Linked DNA regions of Sus scrofa. The protein of the gene in region 1 purifies or fractionates together with the protein of each later gene. This does not show direct contact. Links are inferred from orthologs where the notes say so. Each region holds a gene or a part of one and is shown in the gene's direction. Other genes may lie near its edges.

Region 1 (10,288 bases):
AATGAAAGCATACTATTTAATGATTTTTCATTTGTTATCTCATTTAATGTAATATACAGATTTTTCCATATCAGTATATTAGCTTCACTCTATTTTTTTTTTTTTACTTCTTTGCATATGTACCATTGTACGATTTAATAGAAATTATTTAAGTTGCCTTCTTGTTGATGGATGTCTGCATTATTTCAGTCTTTGGCTATTATAAACAGTGCAGCAATGAACAACTTGAACATACATTGTATAAATGGGGAAAGTGTGTCTAGAGAATAAACCAGAAGTGTGAGTCCTACATCAAAGAGTGAAGGACTTTGTGGAGTTCCCTGGTAACCTAGAGGTTAAGGACTTTCCATTGTCACTGCTGTGGTTCAAATTATTACTGTGGTTTGGGTTCTATCCCTGGCCTGGAAACTTTTGCAGCTGTAGTCCATGGACCGAAAAAAAAAAAGTGAAGGACTTTGTATCTTTTTAGCTTTAAAAGATGCATACTTGGAATTCCCTGTTGGCCTAGTAGTTAAGGATTCAGCTTTGTCACTGCTGTGGAGTGGGTTTCATTCCTGGCTCAGGGAATTTCCACATACTGTGGGGCAGGGTGTGGCCAAAAAAAAAGAGATGCTTTCTTAAACATAGTATCTCCAAATTAAGCCTCTCTTCTCCAAAGTTTACATATTATTTTAATAACACTTTCTCAAATTATGAACTTTTATTTTTTCTTTTTTGGCTACACTTATGGCAAAAAAGGTCCTAAGCCAGGGATCAAACCCATCACAGCAGCAACCGAAGCCCCTGCAGTGACAACACAGGCTCCTTAACCCACTGCTTCCCATAGGAGAACTCCTAAATATTCTTTCTTTCTTTTCTTTTTACAGCTGCAGCCACGGCACATGGAGGTTCCCTGGCCAGGGGTCTAATTAGAGCTGCACATGCAGGCCTATGCCACCACATCCACAGCAACACTGGATCTGAGCCACATCTGCAAACTACACTGCAGCTTTTGGCAATGCCAGATCCTTAACCCACTAAGTGAGGCCAGAGATCAAACCTGCATCCTCAAGGACATGTTGGGTCCTTAACCTGCTAAGCCACAGTGGGAACTCCTAGACATTCTTTTTTAAATTTAACCATAGGCAAGTTGATTATAAATTTTGGCAAAATTTTTTGTAAGCTTAAAAATTGAATTATAAAATTAATTTTGCATACAAATATAAACATTCTGAACTAAGGGATATGAAAAAAGTGGACCATCCCCATGAAGTTTATGTAATTGGGGAAACAAAAAGGATAAATGTGAAATAATTGTGAAAAACAGGCAAGAATTTGCAGTTAGCTATTCAAACAGTGGAGAGACATTAAGTTCTTAATTGGGAGAGTAATATAAAGAAAATGCTGTAAAATACTGTGGCACGTGGAATTTCCCTGGCCTGGGATCGAACCTGTGCCACAGCAGTGGCGTGGGTCAACCCGCTGTGCCACAAGAGAACTCCTGTAAAATACTGCTTTGCAACAGTGTTCACTATACATGAAAGGCAGGAGGTGAGTAAATACTGAGATGAGGTGTTAGGCGTGTCAACAGCAAAGTAAGTTTAAGAAATAGTGCAAGGAATTCCCACTGTGGCACAGCGGGTTAAGGATTCAGTGTTGTCACAGCTGTGGCTTAGGTTGCAGCAGCGGCTCAGATTCAATCCCTGGCCCAGGGACATTACATATGCTTTGAGTGTGGCACAAGAAAGGAAGGAAGAAAAGGAGGGAGACAGAAAGGGCACAAAGAATTGTGCTTATTTTCAACTCCATCTCAATTTTCTCAATTACTGTCTACTATTTTATTAATATATCACACTATATTAATGTAAAGCCAATAGAAATACTTGTCACGTGTACCTGCAATAATGATAGCCATATTAGAGATACACATGTAAGCAGTATGGAGTTGAATGAGAAAGTTAGCCTGGAATAAATGTTACCAATGTTGAGAAAGGTTAATCAGAGAAGGATTCAATTATAGAATTTTAGAATTGGAAGTGATCTTAGAGTCGCAACTTTAATGTTACATATTTGTAATAAGAGGCTTAGAGTGGTGAAGGGATTTGAACGAAGCAATTTAGTGATAGTTGGGACTGGAATTTAGGTTTTCTGACTTCTAGTTCAGAGTGTTTTCCCTCAAGTCACAGACTGGCACGTGGAAGAATACAGTAAATTTTGCACAGGTGTGACTTTTAAAGTCTGCTCTATATGTCAAGGAAAAAGTAAGTACCTAATCTGGTGCTTGATGCAGTACTCAAGCGTGTGTTTAGAAAGCTAAGGATGAAAGTCATGAAGTGACTTTTTTCAATTAGATGTGACTTCTCCCTTTTAAACTTTATGGTACTTTATCCTTACTTCTTTTAAGACACTTAACCTTGCACCATACTTACTGTGTATGTCTAATCCTACCACCAGCCTAATCCCCAGTCAACTGCTTTACTGCAAGAGTGCAGCTTGACTTATCTCTCCATCCTCCACTATGCCCAGCGCAGGATTTTTTAAAATGTTTTTTATTTTTTTTGGAGTTCCCCGTCGTGGCTCAGTGATTAACGAATCCAATTAGGAACCATGAGGTTGAGGGTTCAATTCCTGGCCTCACTCAGTGGGTCAAGGATCCGGCGTTGCCATGAGCCGTGGTGTAGGTCACAGATGTGGCTCGGATCCCACCCACGTTGCTGTGGCTCTGGCGTAGGCTGGCGGCTACAGCTCTGATTAGACCCCTAGCCTGGGAACCTCCATATGCTGCGGGTGCAGCCCTAGAAAAGACAAAAAGACAAAAAAAAAAATATTTTTGCTACACCCGCAGCATGCATAAATTCCCAGGCCAGGGATTGAACCGGAGTCACAGCAGTGACAACACCAAATCTTTAACCACTAGACCACCAGGGAACTCCTAGCACAGGATCTTAAACAAGAGTAGATGCCTTGTAAGTGCTAAAATAGGTTTTCCTGAGGCAGTTGATGCATTCTGACAAATCTGAATAGAACAATTCCAGAGGAGGGAAGGGAAGTCTGGAGTTGTCTTTTATCTGAGCATCCCCCAACTTCATTGGGTTGAGTCCTGTGAAGAGAAAAGACAATAGGTCAAAGAAGGCAGGTTTATTACTACTGCATTCCAGTTGCCCTCTTCACTTAAGTCCAAGGTCCGAGAGTCACTTACTCCCTGGTTCAACTAACATTGGGTTCTAAGTTCTTGTGACATTTCTAATGGAGAATACAAAATGAGAGCTATCCACTAGATTCTGCAGAGAAGCATGCCTCACTAGAGCCTTGGAGAGCAAAGAGCAGCCAATGAGTGCCCACTAAGTTTTGGGCCCTAGCCAAGGAGCCGGGGTTACAGCAGTGAAGACAAGAGATGAAATCCTTTCTGTCATGGTGCTTTAATTCCAAGGAGCCTGGGGGAGAGACAATAAAGATAAATCAGTAAAATATGTAATATGTCAGATAGTGGTTAAGTGTTGAAAAAAAGAGGCGAAGTAGAGAGGAAGCATCTGTAAGTGTATGGGAGGGGTTGCAATTTTATTTAATGAGGCCAAAGAAGGCATTTCCGAGAAGGTGGCATTTCAGTAACATACTGAAGAAAGTGAGAGGAAAATAGCATATTGGCTGTGCCATAACTGTCTTACTGATTATACATGCATAGCTTTTAGTTTGCACGCAATTTGTCCCAGTCGACCTACCCGCAGCTCAAAAAAATAATGAAAGGCCCAATTCTGTAGGTAATGTGGGCAGTTGAAAGAAAGGAGGCCGGGCCAGTAAAAACCCTGACAGAAGATAACAGTAAATTCCCCTCTGTTGGTTCAGTGTTCCCGGAGAAAGAGGCGGGGAGAGGGGAACCCCAAACAAAAACAAAGGTTCCTGTACCTTTAAAAATGGCGGCCCCTCGGGCCAACAATATCATTGGTTGCACGAGGCAGGGGGGCAGGAACTGGGGGGCGCACGGCGCCGCGCAGTCCCGCCTCCTACGGCAAGTCGGAGGTGGCAAGATGGCCGCCGCTGGGGAGGGTGGTGGTGTTGGGGCTGAAGCGGACCGGGAATTGGAAGAGCTTCTGGAAAGTAAGAACCCGTAATAGAAAAGGCCTGAAGGGCGGGAGGTGTGAGGACGCATTCAGGGGGCCAAGTGAATCCGAGATAAAGGAGGCGGAGCGGGAGAGGCTCTTCAGAGGTTGGGCGGGGGCGGAGGGTCTGACTGCGACCCCCTAGAAAATCTCTAGGTCACCCTCTCCTTCCTCCTTGGCGGAGGCTGAGGATCGCATTTGCGTCCCTGTGCGGCCTAGACGGTTGATCTCCTTGCCGGAAGGGAAACTAGTCCAGAGGACGATGTTTCGGGATCCCGCTCCAAACTCCCCCTACTTTAGTAAGTTCTTGGAAGCCTAACTTTCTTCCCGCCAGCAACCACATTCGGTGCTCGGTGGGCAGAGAACTGGACACCCATGGGATTGCCTCCATTAACTCTTAGCAAGCCCGAAGCGTGCCTTTATGTGCAGTATCCTGTCCTCCTTAACACAAAAGACACGTCTTTTCCTTTTCCCAGACCTTTTTCGCACCAGGCTCCTTTCCAATTTTTTCATCATTTCAGAGCTCAAACCCATTCCTATCTCTTTAATTTGAGAACCAGAGTGAGACTGCCTCAGGGGAAGGCAGTTCACCCTCTCGAAAGTGGGTGGCGGAACTTTTCTTCCTTAGCCCCATCCACCACTCCTCTTTTGGTTTCTTGCCCAGAGTGGGGCCAGTGCCCTACCCCTAGGCCTGGCAAGCAGGGTGATGGTGAGGACACAGGCTTTTCAGGGAAGAGGTGAATATTTTTTGTCTCTTGCTGAGTCACAGAGATGTGAGCAGGTGGAAAGACGAACAGAAACGGTGAGAAGTGCCAGGCGACTGTGTGAATTGGCAGACACGGGTGTAGGCAGAGATGAGGCCAAAGGGAGCTCTAGGAGCTTTGGAGAGGGAGAGCTAAATTGAAAGATAAAAGAAGAGAATTCAGTGCCCTCCAATGGTGTGTAATATGGAGTCTCTCAGCTTGTACAAGGACCTATGCGAAGCTAGGTGAAACATCTTGTGGCTTCTGCTCTCTTGCCCAAGATTACTCCCTTGAGGGCTCCAGAGTGAGTTCAGAGGGTTAAGGACATCTGGTCTCTGCCTCCCTTGGATATTTGCATGGGATTTCTAGGGAATCATTAAAGTATGGCAGAGAAGGCACTGTGTCGGTGGAGGTGTCTCTGCAAATCTTTTAACTCTTCTCCTAACTCCAAGAGAGATGCTTGTTCCACCTTGAGGGATGTCTTCCCCTTTATCACATTAAATTAGACAATAGGTAGGGAAGTGGGAGGCTTATTGAGGGGTGGGCTGGGAGACTTTTAAAGGAGAAAATTTTAGGAAAGTTGACAGTTTGTACTCTTAATGTTTTGCCCAGAAACTCCCAACCTTTCATCCTCATCCATCCCCAAAACACCCCATGTTTCTTGTCTCTGAAGGTGCTCTTGATGATTTCGATAAGACCAAACCCTCCCCAGCACCCCCTCCTACCACCACGGCCCCTGATGCTTCGGGGCCTGAGAAGAGATCTCCAGGAGACACTGCCAAAGTATAAATTCCACTCGCTTAAGGGATGGGGAGGGGATGGGCATGCAGCTCTGGGCAGAGGTGGGGAAGGCCCCTGTGGGCCAAAGGGGAGTTGGGGGAGGGTGCCTTGGCCTTACATTGCAAAGTGCTCTTGCAGGCCTCAGTCCTCATGAAACAGGAACTTGAGATTGAGGGGAGGGATCTCAAGGTTAAGTTCCTTAAGAAGAGAGCAGATTTAAATGGTTGGATTGGGAATGCCACTCCATACCCTTCCCTCAGTGGCCAGATGCCTTTTTGCTGTCCTCTTTAAGAGAGGTGGTCAATGTCCAGTGGAGGTGAGTAGGAGGGGAGCACTACATTTCCTAGAGCTTCTCTCAGAGGCCATGTGCAGTGAGTTGCCAAGTAAGAGATGCATTTTGGTCACATCTCCCCTGCAGGATGCCCTCTTCGCCTCCCAAGAGAAGTTTTTCCAGGAGCTGTTCGACAGCGAGTTGGCTTCCCAAGCCACTGCAGAGTTCGAGAAGGCAATGAAAGAGTTGGCTGAGGAAGAGCCCCACCTGGTAGAGCAGTTCCAAAAGCTCTCAGAGGCTGCTGGGAGAGTGGGTGAGAAGGGGGCCCTAGACAACTAGAAATATCTGAACAAACCTCTTAGGTCATTGTTTCTTGAGAACACCAAAATTTTTTTGTAAAGTTGATAGTAATTATGATATCACTGCCATCACAACCATGTCACTGATATCACTGAAGGGAGGAGATGGGAGGAGAAATGAGACCCTGTTTAATGAAAGGGGTAGTTGGGAAATGATAGTTTGGGAAGTAACAGATGAAATTATTGACAGCTGACCATTTTAAAGGTCACAGTGTTAATGTGGGTGTCACTGTGGAGAACAGACTGACACACAGTCCACATAGATTTGTGAAAATAACTGTGGAGATAACCATAGAAAATTCAAAGATGTAGCGTGCCAGTGATTCACTAATAAATGCTCCATATTCAAGCTGGAGTATTCAAGATTGACCAGGTCAGTCTAGGCAAGCAAACAGTTGAAATCAGAAATGGCCTTGACTCTTTTTATCTCTCCTAGGCAGTGATGCGACTTCCCAACAAGAATTCACTTCTTGCCTAAAGGAGACATTAAGTGGACTAGCCAAGAATGCCACCGACCTTCAGGTGAGGGGAAAGAGATAGGGAACCACAAGGGGCCCACTCGCAGGCACTTCACCAGCAGAGTCTCAAAAGACAGACTCCCTTGAGTATCACCTCAAGTCTGTCCCTGCCTCACTATTTTGCTACAGGCAAGTTTAAACAGTTCTTTCCCACCTGAAAGATTGCTCAGCATCCCAGGAAGGCAGTATACTTGCTCACCTCTCCCCTATCCTTTCTAGAACTCGGGCATGTCAGAAGAGGAGCTGACCAAGGCCATGGAAGGGCTGGGCATGGAAGAAGGGGATGGAGAAGGAACCATACTCCCCATCATGCAGAGTATCATGCAGAACCTGCTGTCCAAGGATGTACTGTACCCGTCACTGAAGGAGATTACGGAGAAGGTTGTGAACTTCTATTTATGCTTTTCCTCCTCATTCTGCATTGTATCAACCTCCATGGGCTACTTTGTCTGTTTAGAGCCTGCAAAGTTAAAGTAACTGAAGTGCACAGGTTCATTTGTTTCTTTCTTCCTTATTTATTTGGAAGGAGAGAGTTAGGGAGGCATTGCATCTTAAAGATATTTAAGGTAGAAGGGGAAATCCTTCAGCTCTAGTTTCCTGTAAACTTATCTAAGACTCTGTCTCATCAGCCCCTTCTTGCATTTCCAATTGCATTCGTTTCTCCAACAAGGTTTTACTGAGAATTTTACTGGCTTTAAACTATGAATAATTTTAAGAGTAGATTATGCAGTTCCCGGAGTGGTGCACTGGAAATGAATCCAACTAGGAACCATGAGGTTGTGGGTTTGATCCCTGGCCTCGCTCAGTGGGTTAAGGATCTGGCGTTGCCGTGAGCTGTGGTGTAGGTTGCAGACGCAGCTCGTATCTGGCATTGCTATCAATGGCTGTGGCATAGGCCGGCAGCTGTAGCTCCAAGTAGACCCCTCGCGTGGGAACCTCCATGTGCCATGGGTGCGGCCCTAAAAAGACAAAAGTAATTTTAAGAGTAGATTAAATGATGATTTCTGCCATCAAAGAGTTTATAGTGTTACTGAAGAGATTTTTTTTTGGCTGTGTGTGCGACATGTGGAAGTTCCAGGGATCAAACCCATGCCACAGCACCAACCTGAGCCACTGCAGTTACAGTGCCAGATCCTTAACCCACTGTACCACAGGGGAACTCCTGAAGAGGTTTTTAAAGGTTGTAAAGTCAAAACAAACAAAAGAGACTATGTGGCCCTTAAAGTCTCAAATATTTACTGTCTGGTCCTTCACAGGAAAAGTTTGCTATCCTCTGGTGACTGTGAATGCTAGCATCGCCCAGTGATCTGATTGAAATCACTGCTACTTCTCCTGCTAAATTTGCTTATTTGGCTTTTCCTTCTTTGCTGTCCCTGTCCCCTTCATGTTTTAGTGTTTGTTTGTATTTTAGTGCTCTTACTAAACCATTATCCACTTAATTCTTCCCCACCCATTCTCTCTGTTCTTAGTATCCAGAATGGTTGCAGGTTCACCGAGAATCTCTACCTCCAGAGCAGTTTGAAAAATATCAGGAGCAACATAGTGTCATGGGCAAGATATGTGAGCAATTTGAGGCTGAGACCCCCACAGACAGTGAGGCCACTCAGAAGGCTCGTTTTGAGGTGGTGCTGGATCTTATGCAGCAGGTAAGGGCTCTTGCCATCTGCTCGCTGCTGCTGTCTGCTTGGAAGTTCAGTGGAGGCGGTGTCCTGGAAGGATGCCCCACTGCCAAACCAAGATGGCGGGAGGGGGAGCACAAGAAAGGCCACATAGCATGGTCCTCGGGAGAAAGCATAGAGACCATAGCTCAGATTCTTCCTTTGGACTGCCATGTTGTTTTCTGGGATTTTTCCCTATCTCATGTTTCTCTTTCCTTATTTTCTAGCTACAGGATTTGGGTCATCCTCCAAAAGAGCTGGCTGGGGAGATGGTAAGTATATGTTTTCATATACTTTAATCTGAGCCCAAGTTTCCAGAACTCTGTAACCTCTAGCGGGTCCACCTAAGGTGATAATTGTGGCTTTTTTTGAACCTTCAAAAGCTCTGACCTGAATTAGGAAATTATTTGAGTCCCTTCATCTCTTCTCCAGCCTCCTGGCCTCAACTTTGACCTGGATGCCCTCAATCTATCGGGCCCACCAGGTGCCAATGGCGAACAATGTCTGATCATGTGAAACACAGCACGCTTTCCTTCCTGATTCCCAGCTGTGGGGAACGTCTGGAGTCAGCAGAACCACTGGGAGCTGAGGCAGGAGTGTCGTCTACAGGAGTGGTCTGCCCACTGCCATCTGTCATCCCACCCAAGATTGTGCCATACCAGCTGAGGCTTTCTCTCTGTCTTTCTGAGAATAAGGCCTGTTCCACAGCTCATTTCTGTGAGCCCGTTCCATTGTGGTTTCTGCTGCTAGCAAAGGCCCGGCTCCCCACCAGGTGAAGGAGGCATCGGTTTTAAGGCATGCATCTTCTTCCCTCTCCCAAGATAACGTGTAGGGCCACACTAATGTTCACTTTTGTACCCAGGGTCTTTGTGCCTTGTCTCTACTCCCTCTCTTGGACCCCGGGGAGCAGGGACAGAGTCCTGGGACTCTGTTTCTACAGTTCTCTTGGGCAGGGCCTTTGGGAATGAATGGGGAGAAACTTAGCCTGAGCTGGGACTACAGGTCTGTCACTACACCCTCTTACCTTCAGGACGTTCTGAATTTTCTGAAGAGAAAGTGAGGGGGTTGCATCTAATCTCTGTAGATTGAAAAAGAAACGCTGGGATTCTTCTCTCTCCAGGTACAGAGCCCCCAGCTCCTGGTTCCAACCTGAGAACTCAGAGAGCTGCCCTGGTTCTTTCTGCAGTGCTCTGTGATCTGGGAGAACCCAGTCCTTGACCATCCTTTCCCTCCTGCCTGCCCTCTCATCTCTCCATATCAAAAACCTCTTTATTCTGAGCCCAAGCTGTGAGAAAGAAGGACCCATCCTGATTCCCCTCTAGTCTCTACCATTCTCAGTGGCCCCCTTTCTCCCTGGCAGACATATGTGATTATAGTGTCAGGTCTAGGAACTGAATGACTGTTCTTCCCCAGATACATTCCAGCTTACTTGAGACATCTGATTCCTTTGAATCCTGTCCCTTGGTTCAGGGAGGTGGCTTGGGGAAAGGGGGTGGGGTGCAACCTGGGTCCTTTTTCCTGACTAATAAATATTCTGAGTGAGGATTGTAGCCTATTTTTCATCCAAGTCTTTTCCCGATCTTCCTCAGCTCCTCTAAGCTGCTGCTGAGGAATATCAGCAGACTAGTTCTGCAGAGCGTGACAGTGCTGGGTTTTGGCACCACCTCCCTTGCCCAGCCCAGGCTAAGTTTCTCCCCATCCAATCCGTGTCTGCAACCTACGCCACAGCTCACAGCAGCACCAGATCTTCCCTTGCCCAGCCCAGTCGGCAACTCAGTTGATAAAGGAGACTGAATGCCATCTTTCCTTGTTTTCTTGAGTATTTCATTTTGGGAAGCTCCTCAAATGGTGCGGTATTCTAACATTTCACATTACGTTTATTA
Region 2 (10,114 bases), on another chromosome or scaffold:
GGGGGTGTGGTGGCGGGGATGATGGTGTGGGGGAGATGCTGTTCCCCTTTTGAGAACCACCAGTGCAGTGGTTGGAACATGGGAACATTTTCTTCTGGTTGCTTTTATCTTCTCGGTGATAAGATCAACGGCAGGGTCAGCAGCTAAGAATAAGAGGGAAAAGGAGAGAGGTTTGAGGGGAAAAGAAACAAGCCGAGTATACCTCTTTGGGGTGGGTGAATGGACCGGAGAAATACAGGATGAGCAGTTCAGGGAAATGGGGAGGGAGCCTTAATGTTCGTGGACATGAACGCAAAAGGCTATGGAGGCTGGGCAGGTTGCGGTCAAGTCACCAGCAGCTTTTGTGCTGTGTGAGAGGGGGAGTGGGGGCATGGTTGGAGGTGGAGGGCACAGAGCCTGCGGAATCTTCAGATCACAGATCTGGTTGGGCCTAGGGACTGTGGGTTAGGGTACCAAGACGGAACAGTCGAGGAGGATGCGTGGTGGTAGAGTGGGGTGCTCAGAGGCTCTGTTTACAGTGAAGGGGTCTAGGGTCCGGCAGTGAGCCAGTATTGAGACAGGGTGGAGGATGAGGTCTTTGAGACAGAGTGTGAAGGATCCCAAGCCAGGCGCTAGAGACCCCAGCCTTCATCAAGGCACTGCCTGTCGCTAGAGGCGTTGAGTGCCTGGCCTCATGAAGGCCACACCCAGCCGTCCAGCCCACTGGAGGAGACGGCCTGCAGGTTGCGGGACAGGCCGAGAGTGGTGGCCAGCTTCTCCCAATTTGCTCTGAGTTTCCTCTTCATACCTAAAGTCTTCCACCCTGGGCTGGCCTGAACCATAGAAAGCCCTCATTCTAAAGGGGAGGGGGCACCCCCTGCCTCTTAAAGGGCCAGCCTGTGGGTTTGGGGTTAAGATGTGTGGGTGTAGGGGGGGGCCCCGCCTGCCCTCCCCTGACCGGGAATCCCTCCTCAGGTGTGATGGTCGGCTCCCACGCGGACATGGCACCGGCCTCTACCGCAGAGGGGGCCGGGGAGAAGCCCGGCCCCGTGGCTCCGGCTCCCTCTGCCCAGTATGAGTGTGGGGAGTGCGGCAAGTCCTTCCGCTGGTCATCTCGGCTCCTGCACCATCAGCGCACGCACACGGGAGAGCGGCCCTACAAGTGCCCCGACTGTCCCAAGGCCTTCAAGGGCTCCTCCGCCCTGCTCTATCACCAGCGGGGCCACACGGGGGAGCGGCCCTACCAGTGTCCCGACTGCCCCAAGGCCTTCAAGCGCTCGTCGCTGCTGCAGATCCACCGCAGCGTGCACACGGGCCTACGGGCCTTCACCTGCGGCCAGTGCGGCCTGGCTTTCAAGTGGTCGTCACACTACCAGTACCATCTGCGCCAGCACACGGGCGAGCGGCCCTACCCGTGCCCGGACTGCACCAAGGCCTTCAAGAACTCGTCCAGCCTGCGGCGCCACCGGCACGTGCACACGGGCGAGCGGCCCTACACCTGCGGCGTGTGCGGCAAGAGCTTCACGCAGAGCACCAACCTGCGGCAGCACCAGCGCGTGCACACGGGCGAGCGGCCGTTCCGCTGCCCGCTCTGCCCCAAGACCTTCACGCACTCCTCTAACCTGCTGCTGCACCAGCGCACCCACGGCAGCGCCGCGCCTGCCCCCGCCCCCGGCGCCGCCCCCGCCCCCCGCGGGAGCCTGGCAGCAAGGGCCTGGTTCCCGAGGCCTACCTGCAGCGGCACCTCCAGCCCCCCAGCCCCCCAGCGCCCCCGCCGCCAGCGCCCCCGCCCGTGGTGCCCGAGCTCTTTCTGGCCGCGGCCGAAACCACGGTGGAGCTGGTGTTCCGCTGCGACGGCTGCGAGCTGGGCTTTGGCAGCGAGGAGCTGCTCCTGGAGCACCAGCCCTGCCCCGGGCCGGAGGCGCCGCCCCCACCGCCGCCCCAGGACGCGCCCACAGAGGCTCCCAAGGCCGCCCCGCCGCCGCCGCCGCCGCCGCCGCCGCCCTCCCCCCTGCCGCAGCCCCCTGCCGCCGCCGCCGCCGCCCCCGGCTTCGCCTGCCTACCCTGCGGGAAGTCGTTCCGGACGGTGGCTGGCCTCTCCCGCCACCAGCACAGCCACGGGGCTGCGGGTGGGCAGGCCTTCCGCTGCGGCAGCTGTGACGGCGCCTTCCCGCAGCTGGCCAGCCTCCTGGCGCACCAGCAGTGCCACGTGGAAGAGGCCGCGGCCGGGCGCCCGCCCCCGCAGGCCGAGGCTGCTGAGGTTACCTGTCCCCAGGAACCCCTGGCCCCTGCCGCCGCCCCGCCGGCCCCCACGCCCGCCCCCGCTTCTGTGGAGCGGCCGTACAAGTGCGCCGAGTGCGGGAAAGCCTTCAAGGGCTCGTCGGGACTGCGCTACCACCTGCGGGATCACACAGGCGAGCGGCCCTACCAGTGCGGCGAGTGTGGCAAGGCTTTCAAGCGCTCGTCGCTGCTGGCCATCCACCAGCGCGTGCACACGGGCCTGCGGGCCTTCACCTGCAGCCAGTGCGGACTCACCTTCAAGTGGTCTTCGCACTACCAGTACCACCTGCGGCTGCACTCAGGCGAGCGGCCCTATGCCTGCGGGGAGTGTGGCAAAGCCTTCCGCAACACGTCGTGCCTGCGGCGCCACCGGCACGTGCACACGGGCGAGCGGCCCCACGCCTGTGGTGTCTGCGGCAAGAGCTTCGCCCAGACCTCCAACCTGCGGCAGCACCAGCGCGTGCACACGGGCGAGCGGCCGTTCCGCTGCCCGCTCTGCCCCAAGACCTTCACGCACTCCTCCAACCTGCTGCTGCACCAGCGTACGCACTCTGCTGAACGGCCCTTCGCCTGCCCCATCTGCGGCCGCAGCTTTGTCATGGCCGCCTACTTGCAGCGGCACCTGAGGACGCATGCCCCGGCCAACACCGCTTCTGGCTCTGCAGTCCCCCCTGCCGGCCCCCAGCCCCCTGCCCCACTGGCTGCCGCTCCAGCCCCTTCTGCTACCCAAGATGTCCACGTCCTCCCCCACCTCCAAGCCACACTCTCCCTAGAGGTGGCAGGGGGTACGGCCCAGGCCCCACCGCTGGGCCCAGCAGCCCCCAATTCCCAGACGTTTCTCCTGGTGCAGACCGCACAGGGCCTCCAGCTGATTCCCAGCAGCGTCCAGCCCCCCACACCCCCGCCCCCACCTGCACCCCCCAAACTCATCCTGCTTCCCTCTGGTACTGGTGGTGGGGGCAGCCGTGCAAGGCAGGGCCCAGGGACAGTGGGGAAGGCTGGTCAGGGGGCTGGGGTCGTTTGGCTGCCAGGCCCTGGGGGACTGGGGGTTCAGGGAGGGAGCAACACCACAGCCAGCACAGGTGGGCAGAGCCTTATAGTTCTGCAGAATGTGGGGGGTGGGGAGACAGGGCCACAGGAAGTGAGTGGGGTCCAGCTCCAGCCCCTTCGGCCAGCGCCGGAACTGACCACAGTCCAGCTCCAGCCGGCCCAGGAGGTGGCCACGGTCCAGCTCCAGCCGGCCCAGGAGGTGACCACGGTCCAGCTCCAGCCGGCCCAGGAGGTGACCACGGTCCAGCTCCAGCCTGTGGCAGGTCAGCTGTCCAGTTCCAGTGGGGGAGCCGTGGCCACCGAGGCCCCTAACTTGCTGGTGGTTCAAGGTGGGGCAGCTGAGGAATTGCTGGCAGCACCTGGCTCTGGGGAGCCTGGTGATGGTGAGGCCAGCACAGGTGTGGTCCAGGATGTGCTCCTGGAGACGCTGCAGACGGATGAGGGGTTGCAGAGTGTGCTAGTGCTGAGCGGGGCTGACGGGGAGCAGACGCAGCTGTGCGTGCAGGAGGTAGAGACCCTACCCCCAGGGCTGGCAGAGCCTCCAGCCCCTGGCCCACCGGGACAGAAACTGCTCATCATCCGCAGTGCTGCAGCCACCGACCTGCTGGAGAACAGTAGCGTGGGGGGAGGTACCGCTGCACTGCAGCTGCTGACCCCACCACCGGGCCCAGCCTCTACTCCAGCGGGCATCCCTGGGGCTCCTGCTTCCCAGATGGTCCAAGTGGTCCCTGCTGGAGCTGCACCTGGGGGTATGACCCCACAGGGCCTACCCTCCATCCAGATTGTCCAGACTCTGCCCGCAGTCCAGCTGGTGCACACGTTTTGAGTAGAACCACTGGTACCTCTTCCCGCCCCACACAGAGACCCTGACTCACTGTCCGCATTGGCTGGGCTGAGCTGAACTGTGGGCAGGGGAGCTGCAGGCTGGGCTTGCTAATAAAGACCAGAATCGTCTTTCTTGTGCTTTTGTTTTATTGGTGGTCTGGGAGGTCCTTGTTATGGCCGTAGCCACCATCTGGGAACTTGGAGTCTCACTTGTGTTTTGGTTCTCAGGTGGCTTGCTTTGCGTCTTGGGGCCAGACGCTTCTCCTATGTGGGGCTCTGTTTATCCCTAAAAAGAAGAGATGCAGGGATCATTATAGGGGGATGCGTTGGAAATCCTTGCTCCGGCACTTGTTCGCCGTAAGTCACCCCCCCACACGGAAAAATGGATGAGTGGGTGGGAATGCGCATCACGAAAGTCACCGAGCCCGGGTGGGTTAGGGTTGGCCAGTGTGAGAGCGAGAGGGCTCAGGATGCTGACGTGGCCCCTCCCGCGAAGGCTCCGGAACCAATGAGCATTGATCCGCTCTCTTCGCCGTCCCGCCCCCCTGCGCTCCGGTTGCTGAGCAACCAGGCGACCTCGGGAGGCCAGCGTGTGTTTCCTTCGCGCGTCGGGTAAGTACCGCTCCCCGCCCCCACCCTGCCGGGTCCACAGTTCCCATCCCCCCCATCCCACCCCCTCCCCAACCCCTATCGGCTCTGGTCCTTCTACAGCCCTCCTTTCCCCATTTCCCTTTCTCCCCGCCGCAGGGTCGCTGCTCCTGCCCTAGTCTCTTCCCAGCCCACGCCCTCCTTCCTCATCCCCCCTCCAGAAGCTTGACCGTGGTTGCTAAGGCTGAGGGCAGGCGCTGCCTACCCCCACAACAGTGCGCGAGTATTACGTCACTTCCGCCGGCTACTCCTTCCAGACCCTGCTTCCCCCCCACACACACTTGTCAAAAGCAAAGTGACCCGCAGAGGTGTTTGCAAGTTCTTGTGCCTGCGACAGACCCCTTTCGGGGGCGATTGGGGGGTGGGGAGCTCGGTCCATTCCCTGGCTGTAGGGGGAGTTTCGTTCACCCGTCGGGCAGCCACGGAACTTGGGAGGGAGCCTGGCCTTGCCAAGTGCTGGCGTACACGGGGCCTTCAGGCGTAGATCGCTGAACGCCCCTGGGGGCCGAGAGGCCTCCCGGGAGACTTTAAAGTGGTGGTCGGGTTGAGAGGGAACCCTGTTCTGTCTCGGACCTCGCTTGGGGCCGCGACTGTCCTCCTTGTTCTCATCCGGGAGATGCTGCTGCGGGTCCGCAGCTCTGGGGCGCTCTGGGGAGCAGAGGTGCCCTCCTGACGCTGACCTGCTCATTTTCGCCAGGTGCGCGCCTGCTCCCTTGGGGGCGCAGGAGCTTGGGGGCTGCCATGGCACCCAGCCATCTATCAGTGCGGGAGATGAGGGAAGATGAGAAACCCCTAGTGCTGGAGATGCTGAAGGTGAGAATGGGCAGGGCCGCCAGGGGGCCTGGGGCGTTGGGTGGCGGGGCGCCAAGGAGCCAGAGAGGGTGGAGGGCAGTGAGGGAGGGCTGGACACCCGCGTGCTCTGGAGGAGACGGGGACAGAATGAGGGGGCACCGGAACCCTGCCTGGGAAGGGGCGGGGGTGAGTGGCTGCAGCCGCGCTGAGCCAGCCCTGATCCCTGGAGAGCTATTTTTTCCTCCTGAGGGACTTCCTGGCTTGGCCCCTTCCCTTTTTAGTACCTTCTGTGTGCCCTGGGGGTCCAGAAGAGTTTTAACGGTTCCAGGGCTGTGCAGCCCACCACGCACCCACTCCTTCCCTATTTTCCCCACTTCCCAGGCTGCCCTGCCCCCAGCCTCCTCGCCCACACTCTTCAAAGTAGAGCCCTCGGGCCTCAGCCTAGCCCTCGAGTGCCCCCAGGTTCCCCCTCCAGCTTCCTCTCCTGTTGTCCAGGGTTGTGATCCTGCTCTGGCTTGGGGCAGTTCCTCCATCTAGCCTTCTCTGGTGCCTCGGGCCTGTGTCTCCACTGAATTAGGACCCCCCACACACACACACACCCGCCGCCGCCAAGCTCCTGAGTCACCTGCTTGCTCATTAAACCCCTGTGCGGCAGATGTGCCCGCAAGCCCCTCTGCCACAGGCCCCAGCTCAGTGCCATCCCTTTGCCTCAGATCCCTCCCCAGCAGGGTCCGCCCCCCCTCCCAGTCCCTGCTCCCCACGGGAGCCCCACCGCTCTGACTGCTCCTCCTGCCCGCAGGCTGGTGTGAAGGACACAGAGAACCGAGTGGCCCTCCACGCCCTCACGCGGCCTCCAGCCCTGCTCCTCCTGGCGGCTGCCAGCAGCGGCCTGCGCTTCGTCCTGGCCTCCTTTGCTCTGGCCCTGCTCCTGCCTGTGTTCCTGGCTGTGGCGGCCATGAAGCTGGGTCTGCGGGCCCGGTGGGGCTCGCTGCCCCCACCGGGTGGCCTAGGGGGACCCTGGGTGGCCGTGCGGGGCTCGGGGGATGTGTGCGGGGTCCTGGCTCTGGCCCCAGGCTCTAGCGCTGGGGATGGGGCCCGGGTCACCCGCCTCTCTGTCTCTCGCTGGCACCGCCGCCAAGGTGTGGGCAGGCGGTTACTGGCCTTTGCCGAATCTCGGGCTCGAGCCTGGGCAGGTGGCATGGGGGAGCCCCGGGCCCGGCTCGTGGTCCCGGTGGCCGTGGCCGCGTGGGGTGTGGCAGGGATGCTGGAGGGCTGCGGCTACCAGGCCGAGGGGAGCTGGGGCTGCATGGGCTACACGCTGGTGAGGGAATTCAGCAAGGACCTGTGACTCCAGACCCCAGAGGGAGGAAGCCAGTGCTTAGAGAGCAGCTGCTGTGCACAGGCGACTTGACACCCTCCCTTTGCCCACTCAGGGCCTAAAAACTGAGGCCGCCAGAAGGCAAGAGACCTCACCGCAGTCTGACGTCTGCCTGTCATGTTTGAACTTGTCAGAGAGGTCACGCTGTCCAGCCCCTGCTTCGGGTTCTCTCTGCACGGGGAGACCTCCCCGTCTGGCTGCCACGCCTGTGCCACCTGTGCCACGGGCCTGGGGAGATGTGCGGCGGGAAGAGGGAGGCTAAGCGAGTACGCCCCCCCCAGGGTTAGGACGTGGCGGGGGCACCCCTCATGGGACAAGGCCCCTGGGGAACTGGATGGGGTTGATGCCTGTGCTTGGAGGGGGTGGGGCTGCAGAAGCAGCAGAGATGGGGTGAGCAGAGCCTTGGCAGAGGAGGGCTGTCTGTCTGGAGAGAGCTCCAGGGGAGGGGGGCAGTGGGCCCAGGGCTGCCCGGCCAGGCCAGCCCTTCCCTGGGAAGGTGAGAGCCGAGCGGGGCAGCCAGACCCATCTAGTTTTTTACACTCGTTTGTTAATAAAACCTGAAACTGCTGTGAGCCCATCTCCCTCTCTCTCTCTGATGCCTTTTCCAGTCCGTCTCTGAACCCCCGCTTCTGGCTGGCTCCTCCTTTCCCAGGGTTGACATTAGCTGTCGGTGGGGGTGCTGGACTGGCAGCGGGGGATGCAGTGAGCTCACGGCGGCGGCCCTGCTCCCTGCCAGCCCTCTGACTCACGCTCCCCATTACTGCATTTTTTCCGCCTCACAGCTGCTTGGTGCAGAGAGAGAGTGTGGGGCTGCCCTCCCCCACTCAGGCCTGACCCTCGATTGGCCCAACCCCTGGCCTCAGTTTCCTCAGGAGACACACAAGCTCGACCACTGCTCCCCTCCCTCAGATGCGGGCTGGGGACTTTGTGTGCACATCCCCCAGGGGAGTGGAGAGAGGGGTTTCTTAGTCTCCTGTCTCAATCAAGAAAGTCCTTCCTGGAGTCTGGCTGCACATCTCTTGCTGCGCCCTGAGCCCCAGATGTGCCAGGTCCCTAACCGGGGCGGCTGAAGTGCATCTACCCTCAGAGCCCTCTTCCCTGGTCCCACCAGCCTTCCCTGGCTGAACAGAGAGGAGATTGAGCCCCGCCCCATGCTCGCACCCCCGTGTGCACCCCAGTTCGGATCCCTCCCCGCAGCCTGCCGACCCCTGAGCATCTCAGCCCAGCGTGCCTTCTCCTGGCCGGGCCGCCCTTCTCCCGCGTGGGTGTCTGCAGTTGGACACTCTCCCTCCCGCCTGCCAACGCCCTCCTCCCCAGGCCTCAGGCGCCGGCCAGCCCCCTCCCCGCCCCCACTCCTGTCCCCTGCTGCCTCCTCGGCAGCCTCTCTTCCTCCTGGCAGAGCGTCCAGCCCAGCCTGCTCCTCCCTGGGTCCAAGGCGCCTTCAGCAGGCAGGCGCGGCCCTCCCTCCCTTCCTCCCAGCGGTGGCCGCCACCTCCTCCCTCTCCGGCTCCAGTCCCCTCTCACCCCATCCCCGCCCCGACTCTGCAAACATGAGGGTCTTGGCCTGCCTCCTCGGTGAGTGACCCCTTCTCCTCGGGGATGCAGGGGCCTGAGCCCTGCCCTCTGACCCCTGAGCTCAGCCACTGGGAGGCCTCCAACTTCTGGGCCAGTCCCTGTTCCTCGGGGGATGTGGGGCTTCTGCCCTCCGGCCTGATCCCCCAGGGTCTCCGCCTCTGGCACACTCAGCCCCACCCTCTTAGGCCCACCCCAGGAACCTACCTGCCGCCCCCACACCAGCCCTGACCCTGTGGGGTGTCACCCATCCTTTAACCTTTAGCCAGGCCTCTGGGGAGCGCGAAGGGCTGGCCCCCTGCCTGGACCTGAGGCGTCTGGGGCCCCGCCCACCTCAGGGACCTGAACCTTGCCAGGCCCTCGGCTCAGAGCCCTGCTTCCTAGCTAGCGGGGTTTCTGGGTCAGAGGTGTGAGGCCCTCACTCTGTCCCTCCCACCCCTCCAACCTCCCTTCCAGCGGCTCTGATGGGGATCCAGGCTGTTGGTAAGTGGCCCCAAACACGTCTTCCCTCTGGCCTTGCTCAGCTCCATCCCATGCCCAGCCTTGCCCTCTGCTGGACCCACTTCCCTCAGGACCACCTGGGCGTCCAGCCCCGTGCTTCCTACGAGGCTGGGGCACCACTGCTCTCCCAGACACCCAGGATTCGGCATCAGCAGCCAGGGGGAGCTGGCTCCCAGTCACGCTCTGGCATTCCACCCCCAGCCCCTCCCCTCCCCTTGGCCCCAGGGTCTCCAGGATGTCACAGCCTTTCCTCTGTCCCCCAGAGCGGCTGCGTCTGGCTGATGGCCCCCATGGGTGCGCTGGCCGCCTGGAGGTGTGGCACGGCGGGCGCTGGGGCACTGTGTGTGACGACGGGTGGGACCTTCGGGACGCCGCCGTGGCCTGCCGGGAGCTGGGCTGCGGGGGTGCGCTGGCCGCCCCTGGAGGGGCCTTCTTCGGGGAGGGCACGGGGCCGGTGTGGCTGAGCGAGCTGGCCTGTCGGGGCAGCGAGCGGCAGCTGGGCCTCTGCCCCCACCGGGGCTGGAAGGCCCATATCTGCTCCCACGAGGAGGACGCCGGTGTCGTCTGTGCAGGTAAGGCGCCCTCGGCCCTCTCTGGGAACCCAAGTCCTCAGCCCTGTAACCCTGAGAATCGAGACGTCCAGATGCCCCAACCCTTGACAGCCCCTAAAGCCAGGATTCACCATGGCCCTGGAGGGCCCAGCCGCCGCCTCACCCAGGGTCTGCCCCTCCATAGGCTCCATAGCGTCCGGCTGTTGGATGGCGAGAATGTGGAATAACCCCCTCCGAACCGAAAAGGTCCTTTGAGACTGATAAACAAAGCGGGCAATTCCTTGAAGTGGGATTAGGAGGTTTATCGTTGGGAACTCGCAGGCAGGCAGGCAGGCTCAGGCAGACAGTGAACCAGAGGCGTTTCTTTGCAGCTGCACTTTGCACCCCTGAAAGGGTGCAGGGAGATTTAAAGGGGCCAACGCTAGAGACAGCATCTGACTACCCAAGGGCCGGTCTGCAGGAACAGGAACTGGCGTTCGTTCTCCCCCCACCCCGCCCCACCTGGGGGTCTCATGACCACCACTACTCCTAGGTCGTT
Region 3 (10,366 bases), on another chromosome or scaffold:
ATAAAGAGAGCAGCCTGTTCAACTACACTCCACCGGGGCTGGAGGGGGAAGACCAGAGTCCACAGTATAAACACAACAGGTAAATTAAAGTGGCTAGGAATCCCCACTGCGGCTCAGCAGTAACAAACCTGACTAGTATCCATGAGAATGTGGGTTTGATCCCTGGCCCCACTCAGTGGGTCAAGGGATCCAGCATTGCTGTAAGCTGCGAAGTAGGCCAGCAGCTGCAGTTGCAATTTGACCCCTAGTCTGGCAACGTCCATAATGCTATGGGTGCGGCCCTAAAAAAGGGGGTAGTGGTGGTGAGATGATCAGGACAGGAGGCCCTCCTTAAGGAATGACCCCCACCCCACCAAGCAGCAGTCCAACACAAGGAAATTCAGTACACTTAGGACGTGCATTTTATAGGATGTAAGTTACACCCCAATTAAAAGAGCACAAAGAAGGGAAGCTGTTACTTAGGAGGCATGTCTACAGAAGTGACCCACCCTTGCTGAGCTTGTTTCTTCATCAAAAAAAAAAATGAGGATGACAGTAACAGGCCCACCCTGTGAAAGTGTCCTAAGGAAACGATCACAAGCTCTGGGCAAGGTGTCATGACTGGTAAACAGTAACCATTTCTGCATCATAGTTATTCTGATTATATCCAAGTGGGAAATCACTGTCACTAGAATATTCACTCCAATATTAGCTTCCAAATACTGAATGGACTATTAAGGGGGAAAAAAAGGACAATGAGTTTTAGAGAAGGCTCAGGCCTCTGGGGACTCGGTCTCTGGTTAACTTGAAATTATCTGAAGAGTAATTAGGTCACTGACGGGGAAGATGGGGTTGCAGAAATGTTCAGGATCCCAACTGATCTACTTTTGTCAAAGGTTACAATTAGTTCTTCTGAAGTCATCATAACTTTTAGTTAGCCAAGATTTCTTCTTAATCTCTTATCCTATTACCTATTACGGTTAATGTCTAAATGTTCAATGAACGGTGTTTGGCGTCCTGTTTTTAAATTTCTCTGTATAACCCCAGGGTTCTCTGGAGAAGATTGTACTATGTAAATCTAGGTACTCAATACCATTTGCAGACAACTTAGCACTTGCTATAAATAGACAGTGAAAACAGATGGTGTTAAGGTGGTGGGATTAGGAATCTAAAATGTCTACTGTTACAGCAACTCAACTTGGAGCCACAAATCTACCACTATGTAAAAAAAGAGGGACAGCTAAAAATATAGGCTGAAAAGCCACCATTCATTTAACAAAAATAGACCATACAAGAAAGTCTAGGATGGGAGTTCCATTGTGGCTCAGTGGAAACAAATCTCACTAGTACCCATGAGGATGATGAGGATGTGGGTTCGATCCCCTGGCCTGGGAACTTCTGCCGTGGACGCAGCCCCCAAAAAGAGAAAGTCTACCTTATTGCTCAAAAGTGTTTCCACAGTGATTGAAGCCAATCATTAAGGTAACTTTATTATTGAGTTTTTCCCCTCCTACCCATCTTGTCAACTCAGGAAAAAATGGGAAACAGTCCTTGTGGACTGCCCCGCTGCCATGCTTAAAGGAATGAAGCTCACCTGGAGAGCATGGCCGTGTAGGCATCGCTGGCGTGGCCCTGCTCCCGGTTTTTCTTCACAGCTGGGGAGATCTCCTTTCTCACTTTGACAAGGTCCTCCACAGTGTTGAAGGACAGCTTAATGTAATTTCGCTTCAAACCCACCAAGTGATTTGGCTACAGAGTAAACAAATGGTGCTCGTGAGTTCAGGAGAAAAAACACTTTACGGGGGAGAGAAAATAAGGGGAGAACAACTCAAAAGTAATTCAATGAGTTGAAGAGTTGGCAACTCCAAAGCACCTTGTCCAACTCTGCATGTGGCACCAAGCAAGCCACTAGAGTCCTCTAAAAGGATGTGGGGATAGTCACCAAAGCCCAACACCTGCCCTGCCCCACAAGTGCTAACTTGTCCTCTTCCCATCTCACCCCACAAGCAGGGTGGGCCTGGCCTCATTTACCCTTAAAGGGCTGGGTGATACTCACCAAGTCCAGATCCTCTTTAGGGACAGTCTCTACTTTAGCAATTTTACCCTGAAACTTCTTAGAGAGGAAAGATGAAACTTCTCGTTCACAACCCTAAATCAGGATTAGAATGAAAGGACTTCCCGTTAGTATAAATGATTTCCTTCCTTGCCTATTTCTCCAGAAACCTCTTTATGTCCAGTTATGAAGCCCCTACCCCCACCCCAACCAAAGAATGAGACACAAGTCATCTGACCTGATGCCATGAATTACAGACTTACCTTTCTGGTGGCAATGTAAAAATATGGTTTGTAGGGCAAGGCCACCTGCAAGAGTCACCACCCATTCAGGGGGGATGAAAAAGAAAAAAGGGAAAAAAATGAAGACAGGTTGTTTGAGGAATATAAGGGACACAACACTGACCATTTTGCACTCCTTCCAAGCTAGCTTCTCTTAGGGCACTATTTTTTTTTTTTTTTTTTTTTAGGGTCACACCCATTGCATATGGAAGTTCCCAGGTCAATGGTCGAAGTGGAGTTGCAGCTGCCAGCTTACACTACAGCCACAGCAATGCCAGATCCAAGCTACATCTGCAACCTACCCCACAGCTCACAGCAATACCGGATCCTTAATCCACTGAGCGAGGCCAGGGATCAAACCCACATCCTCATGGTTACTAGTCTTAACCTGCTGAGCCACAACAGGAACTCCTCTTAGGGCATCTTAAGCGACTAATGCGGCTCCAAGGGACCCAAGTTCCTGATGAGCTTTGGGTGGCTGTGCACTACAGGCCTCCCATCCCCTCTCACCTCACAGGTACAGAGCTAAAAGAACACTTGTCATTTGGGGTACAGCTATGTCTCATTACTGAGGGGTTTTTTGCTTCTCGGGGTTCAAAGGCTTACCTTAAATCTGCTGCCATCATCTTGAATAAAGTAGTAATCCACTGCACTAATTAAGCGTTTATCTTCATCTAAAATCTCAGTCTACAAGAAAATCAGTCAACACGGGCACAAGGTTATCCTCTACACAGTATGAGAGCCTTTTCCTCTTTCTCTGGGAAACTAGCACTTAAAAACACCAGCCCCACTCACAAGAACCACATCATAAAAGCCTCCAGATGGGAATTTCTCTTTTCCCTCTCATTTCTTAGGGGTAACAGAGATGCCCCTCACCTCAGTCAACCCAGTGGCGTTTTTATGACCCAAACAAACTTTTTTTTCCTTAGTGCCGCACCCTTGGCATATAGAGGTTCCTAGGCTAGGGGTCGAACCAGAGCTACAGCTGCTGGCCTACACCACAGCCACAGCAACTCAGGATCTGAGCTGCTTCTGTGACCTAAACCACAGCTCAGGGCAACACCAGATCCCCAACCCACTGAGTGAGGCCAGGGATAGAACCCATATCCTCATAGACACTAGTCAGATTCGTTTCCACTGTACCATGACAATGACCCAAAGAAATTTAAAGAAGAACAAAGTAGGAGAGCCATTTCCTCTCCACCCATATCGCCCAAACAGGTTCCTGCCAGGTGTCACCTACTCTTCAGACCAGGGCTATGCCACAAGGATGCAGCCCAATCCTGCACGGGAGCGGGAAGTCGGAGGAAAGCACGTGCTTACGGGGTGCATATTGATGAGCCAGCCTGTCTTCTCACCAGGCTCCTTGAGTCTCTCAAACCCAAACCGCAGATCCATCTTATCCGTCCACTGACTGCGCTCCAGGCGCTTGAGCGCAGAGACTGAGGAAGAGGGGCCATCATCCCTGAGGGAAAGCAGGACGGTCTAGTTTCCACTGATGACACCATCCACCCCCCCAACCTCATCCCTCCAGAGTAAGCATCTCAGACGTGTCATGGGTTCAATCCCTGGCCTAGGAACTTCCACAGACTGCAGAGTTGCCCACCAAAAATAAAATAAAAATCTCTGGATTCACCTTAGATCAAAAATGCAGAAAAACTGTATTTCAGGCCTTGCTAGAGTAAAGATAACCTTCTTCAGAGCTGTTGCTGCTGGTCTATGCTAGAGCCACAGTAACGCCAGAACCGAACTGCGTCTTCGACCCACACCACAGCTCAGGGCAAGGCCGGATCCTTAACCCATTGAGCTAGGTCAGAGATCGAACCCGCAACCTCATGGTTCCTAGTCGGATTCGTTTCCACTGTGCCAGGACTGCAACTCCCAATAAGATAACTTTTATCAGATCAAGACTGAATGAAATACTACTTATGGAGGATCGCCCCGTGGGCGGGGAGCCCTCTGTACTGCATTCCTCCAAATACCACGGCATGGGTGCCATCCTGTTACCAAGTGAGTGGGATTAAGTGGATTCGAAAACTGCTCACTTGGACCATATCACCTCTCGAGGCTTTTCTGGGGAGCTGTATAACTCACTGTTTATCCCGTGGCAGTAGAAAATCTGAAAAATGGAGACAACAGTAACAAAGATAACTACCATACTGACTGTTTACTAAATGAGACATTGTCCGAGCACTCTGCGAAAAGTCAAAAGCGACTCTTCTTTGGCAGCTTCGCTGGCATCCGCCGCCCTAAGGAATGCAGCGAGTCCGAGGGAAGCAAGGGGCCGGATAGGGAGAGAACCCGGGTCCATGCCTCGCATCTCTGCCGCCTCGATTCCAGCACAAATGCCGCGTAGCGCGGGGGGGGGGGGGGGGGCTGGAGGTTAGAGCACAAAGCCTCAGCCAGCTCTCTGTGGTCACCGGTAGCGACGGTGGCGTTGACAGGGACGCCTGTCAGCCCCTCCTAGGAACTACCCCGCAGGGTGAAGAGTCGGCAAAGGCCCAGGTTCCCGCGCAGTCCCTCCTCTCGGTTCAGTCCCAGAGACACTCCTCTCATCCGGCGTCCCTTCCCCACCCGCGCCTCCGCTGGGCCACTCGCGAGGGCCTCGAACAAGCTGACGGGGGTGCAGAGGCGGCACCTCGGGGGCGAGGGGCAGCAGCAGAGAGACCCCCGACTCTCAAACCCGGACCCCAGTCTTGCCGCCGCGGAGAGCGCCCAGAGCGCTCTCGCCGCTTCTGGCGGAAAAGAAGGGCGGCCGAGCCCGCCCTCTGCATGCCCGGGAGGCCAGGCCGCCCCTCACCGGCTGGGTTCGCCCTCCGGGCCGGGCTCCGCGCGCCGCCGCCCGGTGTTCCTCAGAACCATCGCACCGTGCTGCGCCTGCACTGCCGCCGCTACCACTTCCCTGGAGAAATTTGGCGCGCTCCCACCAAATCTCGCGAGATACCGGAAGGCGGCCCCTCCCACCGCCAACGCGGCCCAATCAGGAGGCGTGTTGCGCCCCGCCCAACCGAGCGCCAATCGCAGCTGGCGCCCTAGGGGGGGGTGGGGGCTGGTTAGGGACTCGGGAAAAAGTCCGCGGAGGCGTGTGTCGCTCACCCTAGGGTCTGTCCCCGGCGGCCCTGCGGCCCGCGGCGGGGCGGGAAATGTCCGGCCCTCCCCGCCCGGCGCCCGGCGCCCTTTACCCCGCACTCAGGTAGCCCACAGTGGGGTCGGTGCCCCTGGCGGGCGCGGCTCAGGAAAGACTATGGCCCCGGCAGCGTCGAAACTGCGGACCGAAGCCGGGCTCGGGGCGCTCCCGCGGCGGGCGCTCGCCCAGTACCTGCGCCTTCTGCGGCTCTACCCGGTGCTCACCAAGGCGGCCACCAGGTCGGCGCGGAGGGAACGGGCGCGGGCGGGGGGCGACCTGGAGCTCGAACGACTCGGTGACCCAGCCCCATAGATGTATTCTACGTGGGGGCCTGAGTGTGAAAGGCAAAATCCCCGTGCGTCGAAACAACCCTCCAGAGATCTTAAATTCACCGGAAAGTTGAGCACGTGCGGTCTAGTGCGTTCGGTTCCTAAAAATACGGACCCAGGGACCAGAGTAAAGGAGCGCACGAGCTCAGCCCCTCTGCTCTGGGGGTAACGCCCGTCCGAGGTGAATGGGGCTGGGAGAGAGGTCTGTCACCTGCCATCTGCTGCTGCCTTGCGGCTGGTTAGTACTCATTTGTTCTGAGGATTAGAATGGCGTTGAGGTACATGCCTTTGGGAAAGGCGTGGGAAGGCTACACGGGTGGTAGGTGTTAAGTCTTGTTTTCTCCAGCTGCTTTTTCTCTCGCTTTGAGAGAAAGCTGACAAAGCGCCCCCAGTGCTGCTGGCTAGCTCGGCCCTATTCTTTGGAGTATTAATTTTTTTATGAGCCATTTTCCCCTTAATTACTTTTAAATTATCAATTTTACAAGCGTGTCCCCTTTTACTAATTCAGGCTTCGGTAAATGTGAGCAGCGATTAAGATAAGTAGGTGAGGGCCCTACCCTGACAGAGCTTGTGTTGGAAGAAAGAACTAGACAAAAAGCAGAAAAATATGTAACAGATAAAGTGGTCAGGGGAGTTTTATATGAAGAGGAGACATCTAAATAGAGGCTTGGGGAGTTCCTGTCGTGACTCAGCTGGAACGAATCTGACTAGCATCCATGATGCAGGTTTGATCCCTAGCCTCGCTCAGTGGGTTAAGGATTTGGCATTGCCTTGAGCTGTGGTGTAGGTTGCATATGTGTTTTGGATCCAGTGTTGCTGTGGCTGTGGTATAGGCTAGCAGTTACAGCTCCGATTTGAACTCTAGCCTGGGAACCTCATTATGCCATGGGTGCAGCCCTAAAAAGACAAAAAAAAAAAAAACCCAAAAAAACCCACAAAGCTTGAAATAGAGGCCTGACAGAGTTCCCTGGTGGCTCAGTGGGTTAAGGACCTAGCATAGTCCCTATTATGGCTCCAGTCACGGCTGTGGAAGGGATTTAATCCCTGGGCCGGGAACTAACTTCTGCATGCTATGAGTGGGCCCATACACACACACACACACACACACACGTACATACATGCATACATACATACATGCCTGAGGAAGGGAGGGAGCAGGCCATGCAAAGAAGGAAAGCAGAGGGTAGAGGGTACAGTAGATGCAAAGGTCTTGAGGGAGGAGCAAGCTAATAATGGAGACCTGGAAAGAAGGTCTGTGCCATTGGAGAAAAAGAACAGTGAGCAAAGGAGAGGTTGAGGAACACGTAGCCAAGGATCAGGTCAAGAGGGTCCTTATTGCCCCTACTAAGAATTTCACATTTTATAGATTGGAGATCTTCTCAGAAGGCAGCCGTAGACCAAGCCTTTGAGCACCTAGGCCTGTCTCCACCTTTTTTTTGAAAATTTTATTGTGATAAGTGTAGATTCACATGCAGCTGTAAGAAATAACTCAGGGAGATCCCTTTTGCTTTTCCCAGTTTCCCCCACTGGCAACATTTTGTCAAACTATAGTACAGTATCACAATCAGGACACTGATGTGGATACAATCCCTAGATCCTATTCAGACTTCCTCAGCTTTTCTTGTACTCATCCATGAGTGTGTGGTTGTGTGTATGTTTAGTTACATGCAATTTTAACACATGTACAGGTATGTGTATCCACCACTGTAGTCAAAATGCAAAAATAGTTTCATCATAAGGATCCCTCCTGGGAGTTCCCATCGTGGCACAGCAGAAACAAATATGACTAGTATCCATGAGGATTCGGTTTCGATCCCTGGCCTCGCTCCTTGGGTTAAGGATCCAGTGTTGTCGTGAACTGTGGTGTATGTCAAAGACGCAGCTCAGATTCTTGCTATGGCTATGGTGTAGGCTGGTAGCTGCAACTCCAATTTGATCCCTAGCCTGGGAATTTACATAGGATATGGGTTTGGCCCTTACAAGCAGAAAAAATCGAATAAATAAATAAGGATCCCTCCTGTTGCCCTTTTATAACCACACAGTAGCTTCTTGCAAAATTATAGAATAATATCACAAGCAGGATATGACATCAGTACAACCTACCAATTGGAAATCTTACTGTGCTTGTGTGTGTGTGTGTGCATGTGTATTAAGTTCTATCATCTCCAGCTTTTGAGATGGAGAACTTATATTTTGGCTGCTCTAATAAAGGTTCATGTCTACCCGTCCCAAGCACGTTCGTAGACCTGCCATGCTAATTTCATGCAGGAACATCAGATGCCTCCTGTAGGTCATTTCTGTTTTCTGAATACCTCTCTGTCCACAGTGGCATTTTGTCAGCACTTGGGAACTTCCTGGCCCAGATGATTGAGAAGAAGCAGAAAAAAGAAAGCTGTTCTCAAAAGCTAGATGTCAATGGGCCTCTCAGATATGCCATTTATGGGTGAGTTCCCCAAAGGGGCTGGTTTACTCAAGAGCAGGCTCAGTGCCACAAAGCTCAGGTCAAGACCTGGCATAGTCTAATTTGGAAAAATAATTTTGCAGAAGCATTGATGTCATTATGGGGAAAATATCAGAGTGGTGGATAAGGTTAACTTCACTTATGGTTTCATTTGGTTTTTATTTTTAAGATTTTTATTTTTTCTATTATAGTTAATTTATAATGGTCTGTCAATTTCTGCTGTCCAGCAAAGTGGCCCAGTCATATTATCCTCTATCATGTTACATCTCAAGATATAGTTCCCTGTGCTATACAGCAGGATCTCATTACTTATCCATTCCAAATGCAGTAGTTTGCATCTACTATCCCCAAACTCCCAGACCATCCCACTCCCTCCCCCTGGTTTTTAGTTTGAATTACACAGGTGGGTGGGGGTGGCCGTTTTAATTTGGCTGAGACACCTGAGAGCGGATGGCCTGAACCTAAAATCATACTTCAAGACCCGCAGATCCTGAAAGAGGAATCCAGACCCAAATACAGCCAGTTAGTTTGTGTTGCTATTTTTGTAGCATAAACATACAGAAAAGAAATACTTAGGGATCCTGAAAATTGTCATTTCTGAACCACTTTTTGAATTGCAAAAGCACAGAAATTCAGCAGTTTTACCAGTTAAATCCACTCTGAGTTCTCTGGCAACAGTAGTGTTTGCAGTGATGGATATTCTGAAGTCTTTGGCAATAAAAGTGTTGTTTTTTTTTAATTCAGAATTCGCAAGTAATATTTTTATATCTGTAAGCATGCTAACTTGAGTCATCACAGCTTTTCCACAATGTATTTAAAGTTCTAGGAGTTCCCATAGTGGCGCAGCGGAAACAAATCCGACTGGGAACCATGAGGTTGCGGGTTTGATCCCTGGCCTGGCTCAGCAGGTCAAGAATCCAGCATTGCCGTGAGCTGTGCTGTAGGTCTGGCGTTGCTGTGGCTTCGGCATAGGCCAGCGGCTACAGCTCCAATTAGACCCTAGCCTGGGAACCTCTATATGCCGCAAGTGCGGCCCTAAAAAGACAAAAAGACCAAAAAAAGAAAAAAAAAAAATCTGGAGTTCCCGCTGTGGCACAACAGTATTAGTGGCATCTTGGGATCGCTGAGTTAGATACCAGCCCTGGCACAGTGGGTTAAGGATCCAGCATCACTTCAGCTGTGGCATAGGTTGCATCTATAGCGTGGATCTGATCCCTGGCCCAGGAACTCCATATGCCAGTGGGCAGCTAAAAAAGAAAATACGTAAATAAAGTCCTAACCCCCCCCAACCCCAAGAGGGGAGAGGGTATCAGAATCGCCTGGAAGAACTTGTCCATTCAGCTTCCATCCCCAAGATTTACATTTTCTTCTACCTGAAAAGCCCTGCTCTGGACCACTTAACATTCTATGAAAGGTGAAAGGGCAGGGAAAGGGGACAGTCAAGTGAGAACTGCTTGTTTAAGGACTTTTGGTGTCTACCTGGAAGCACCCAGAGCCCCTGCCCATCTTTTGATCCTGGATCTTCTGAAGCCTCAGGTCTGTCATCCTGTTAGACCTGGTGGCTGGGTTCAGGCCTCTCCTGAGTACTCTGTGCACTTTAGAATGAATAGTAGCAATACAGACAAGCCAGCGCATCAGGTGTCAGCCCTGTTAGCGATCCCAGAGGATTTGCTGAAAAGCTCAAACACCAGGCAAAGCATCCATTTATTTGCTTACTACCTAGCACCTTCTCTGAGCCAGGCCCTGTTCTAGGTACTGCAGACACAGCAGTGAGCAGACAGACCCTGTTTCATGGCATTTACCCTCTAGGGGTGAAGAGAAGTCACTCTAAACAAATGAGTTCATGACATTCAGTGCTAAATGCGCTGAAGAAAATGAAACAGGGCCTGGAATATAGAGTGGCTGGGACAGTAGTAGATTCGTTATTCAGGACCATCTGGGAGGAGCGCTCGAAGCCAGTGGTGTTGGGAAGGAAGCAGCCATGTGACAAGCAGGGGATCCGAGGCAGGAATAAGCCTGGCCTGTCAGAGGCAAAAAAAAAAAAAAAAAAAAAAAAAAGCTGGAAGTAAATTCATAGCATATTTTCAAGAAGGACCTCACAAACCTGTGCAGTCAGGGCTGAGGGACTTCAGGGAG

What was found.
Region 2: the proteins of PEX19 (region 1) and NAT14 purify together in Homo sapiens (co-immunoprecipitation; 3 studies listed by BioGRID and IntAct, counting the BioPlex papers as one, with this or other methods). This does not show direct contact. The link is inferred for Sus scrofa from reciprocal best matches to the Homo sapiens genes PEX19 and NAT14.
Region 3: the proteins of PEX19 (region 1) and PXMP2 purify together in Homo sapiens (affinity purification with mass spectrometry; 3 studies listed by BioGRID and IntAct, counting the BioPlex papers as one, with this or other methods). This does not show direct contact. The link is inferred for Sus scrofa from reciprocal best matches to the Homo sapiens genes PEX19 and PXMP2.

The regions. Positions count from the first base shown.
Region 1 is NC_010446.5:90,193,101-90,203,388, forward strand, and holds the start of PEX19 (peroxisomal biogenesis factor 19), read left to right. Parts: upstream 1-3,885; 5' UTR 3,886-3,890; coding exon 3,891-4,074; intron 4,075-5,492; coding exon 5,493-5,602; exon of another isoform or gene 5,603-5,819; coding exon of another isoform or gene 5,820-5,915; intron 5,916-6,017; coding exon 6,018-6,183; intron 6,184-6,665; coding exon 6,666-6,751; intron 6,752-6,966; coding exon 6,967-7,128; intron 7,129-8,216; coding exon 8,217-8,393; intron 8,394-8,632; coding exon 8,633-8,677; intron 8,678-8,837; coding exon 8,838-8,921; 3' UTR 8,922-10,288. UniProt on the Homo sapiens protein: Necessary for early peroxisomal biogenesis. Acts both as a cytosolic chaperone and as an import receptor for peroxisomal membrane proteins (PMPs).
Region 2 is NC_010448.4:59,633,544-59,643,657, forward strand, and holds NAT14 (N-acetyltransferase 14), read left to right. Parts: upstream 1-4,630; 5' UTR 4,631-4,746; intron 4,747-5,012; exon of another isoform or gene 5,013-5,090; intron 5,091-5,479; 5' UTR 5,480-5,523; coding exon 5,524-5,595; intron 5,596-6,373; coding exon 6,374-6,922; 3' UTR 6,923-7,524; downstream 7,525-10,114. Other genes in the region: soluble scavenger receptor cysteine-rich domain-containing protein SSC5D, read left to right, coding at 8,104-8,527, 8,981-9,007, 9,289-9,597. UniProt on the Homo sapiens protein: Probable acetyltransferase. May act as a transcription factor that regulates the expression of coproporphyrinogen oxidase by binding to a promoter regulatory element.
Region 3 is NC_010456.5:22,793,004-22,803,369, reverse strand, and holds the start of PXMP2 (peroxisomal membrane protein 2), read left to right. Parts: upstream 1-5,350; 5' UTR 5,351-5,557; coding exon 5,558-5,679; intron 5,680-8,095; coding exon 8,096-8,212; intron 8,213-10,366. Other genes in the region: POLE (DNA polymerase epsilon catalytic subunit A), read right to left, coding at 1,574-1,728, 2,036-2,128, 2,296-2,340, 2,920-3,000, 3,637-3,778, 5,114-5,175. UniProt on the Homo sapiens protein: Seems to be involved in pore-forming activity and may contribute to the unspecific permeability of the peroxisomal membrane.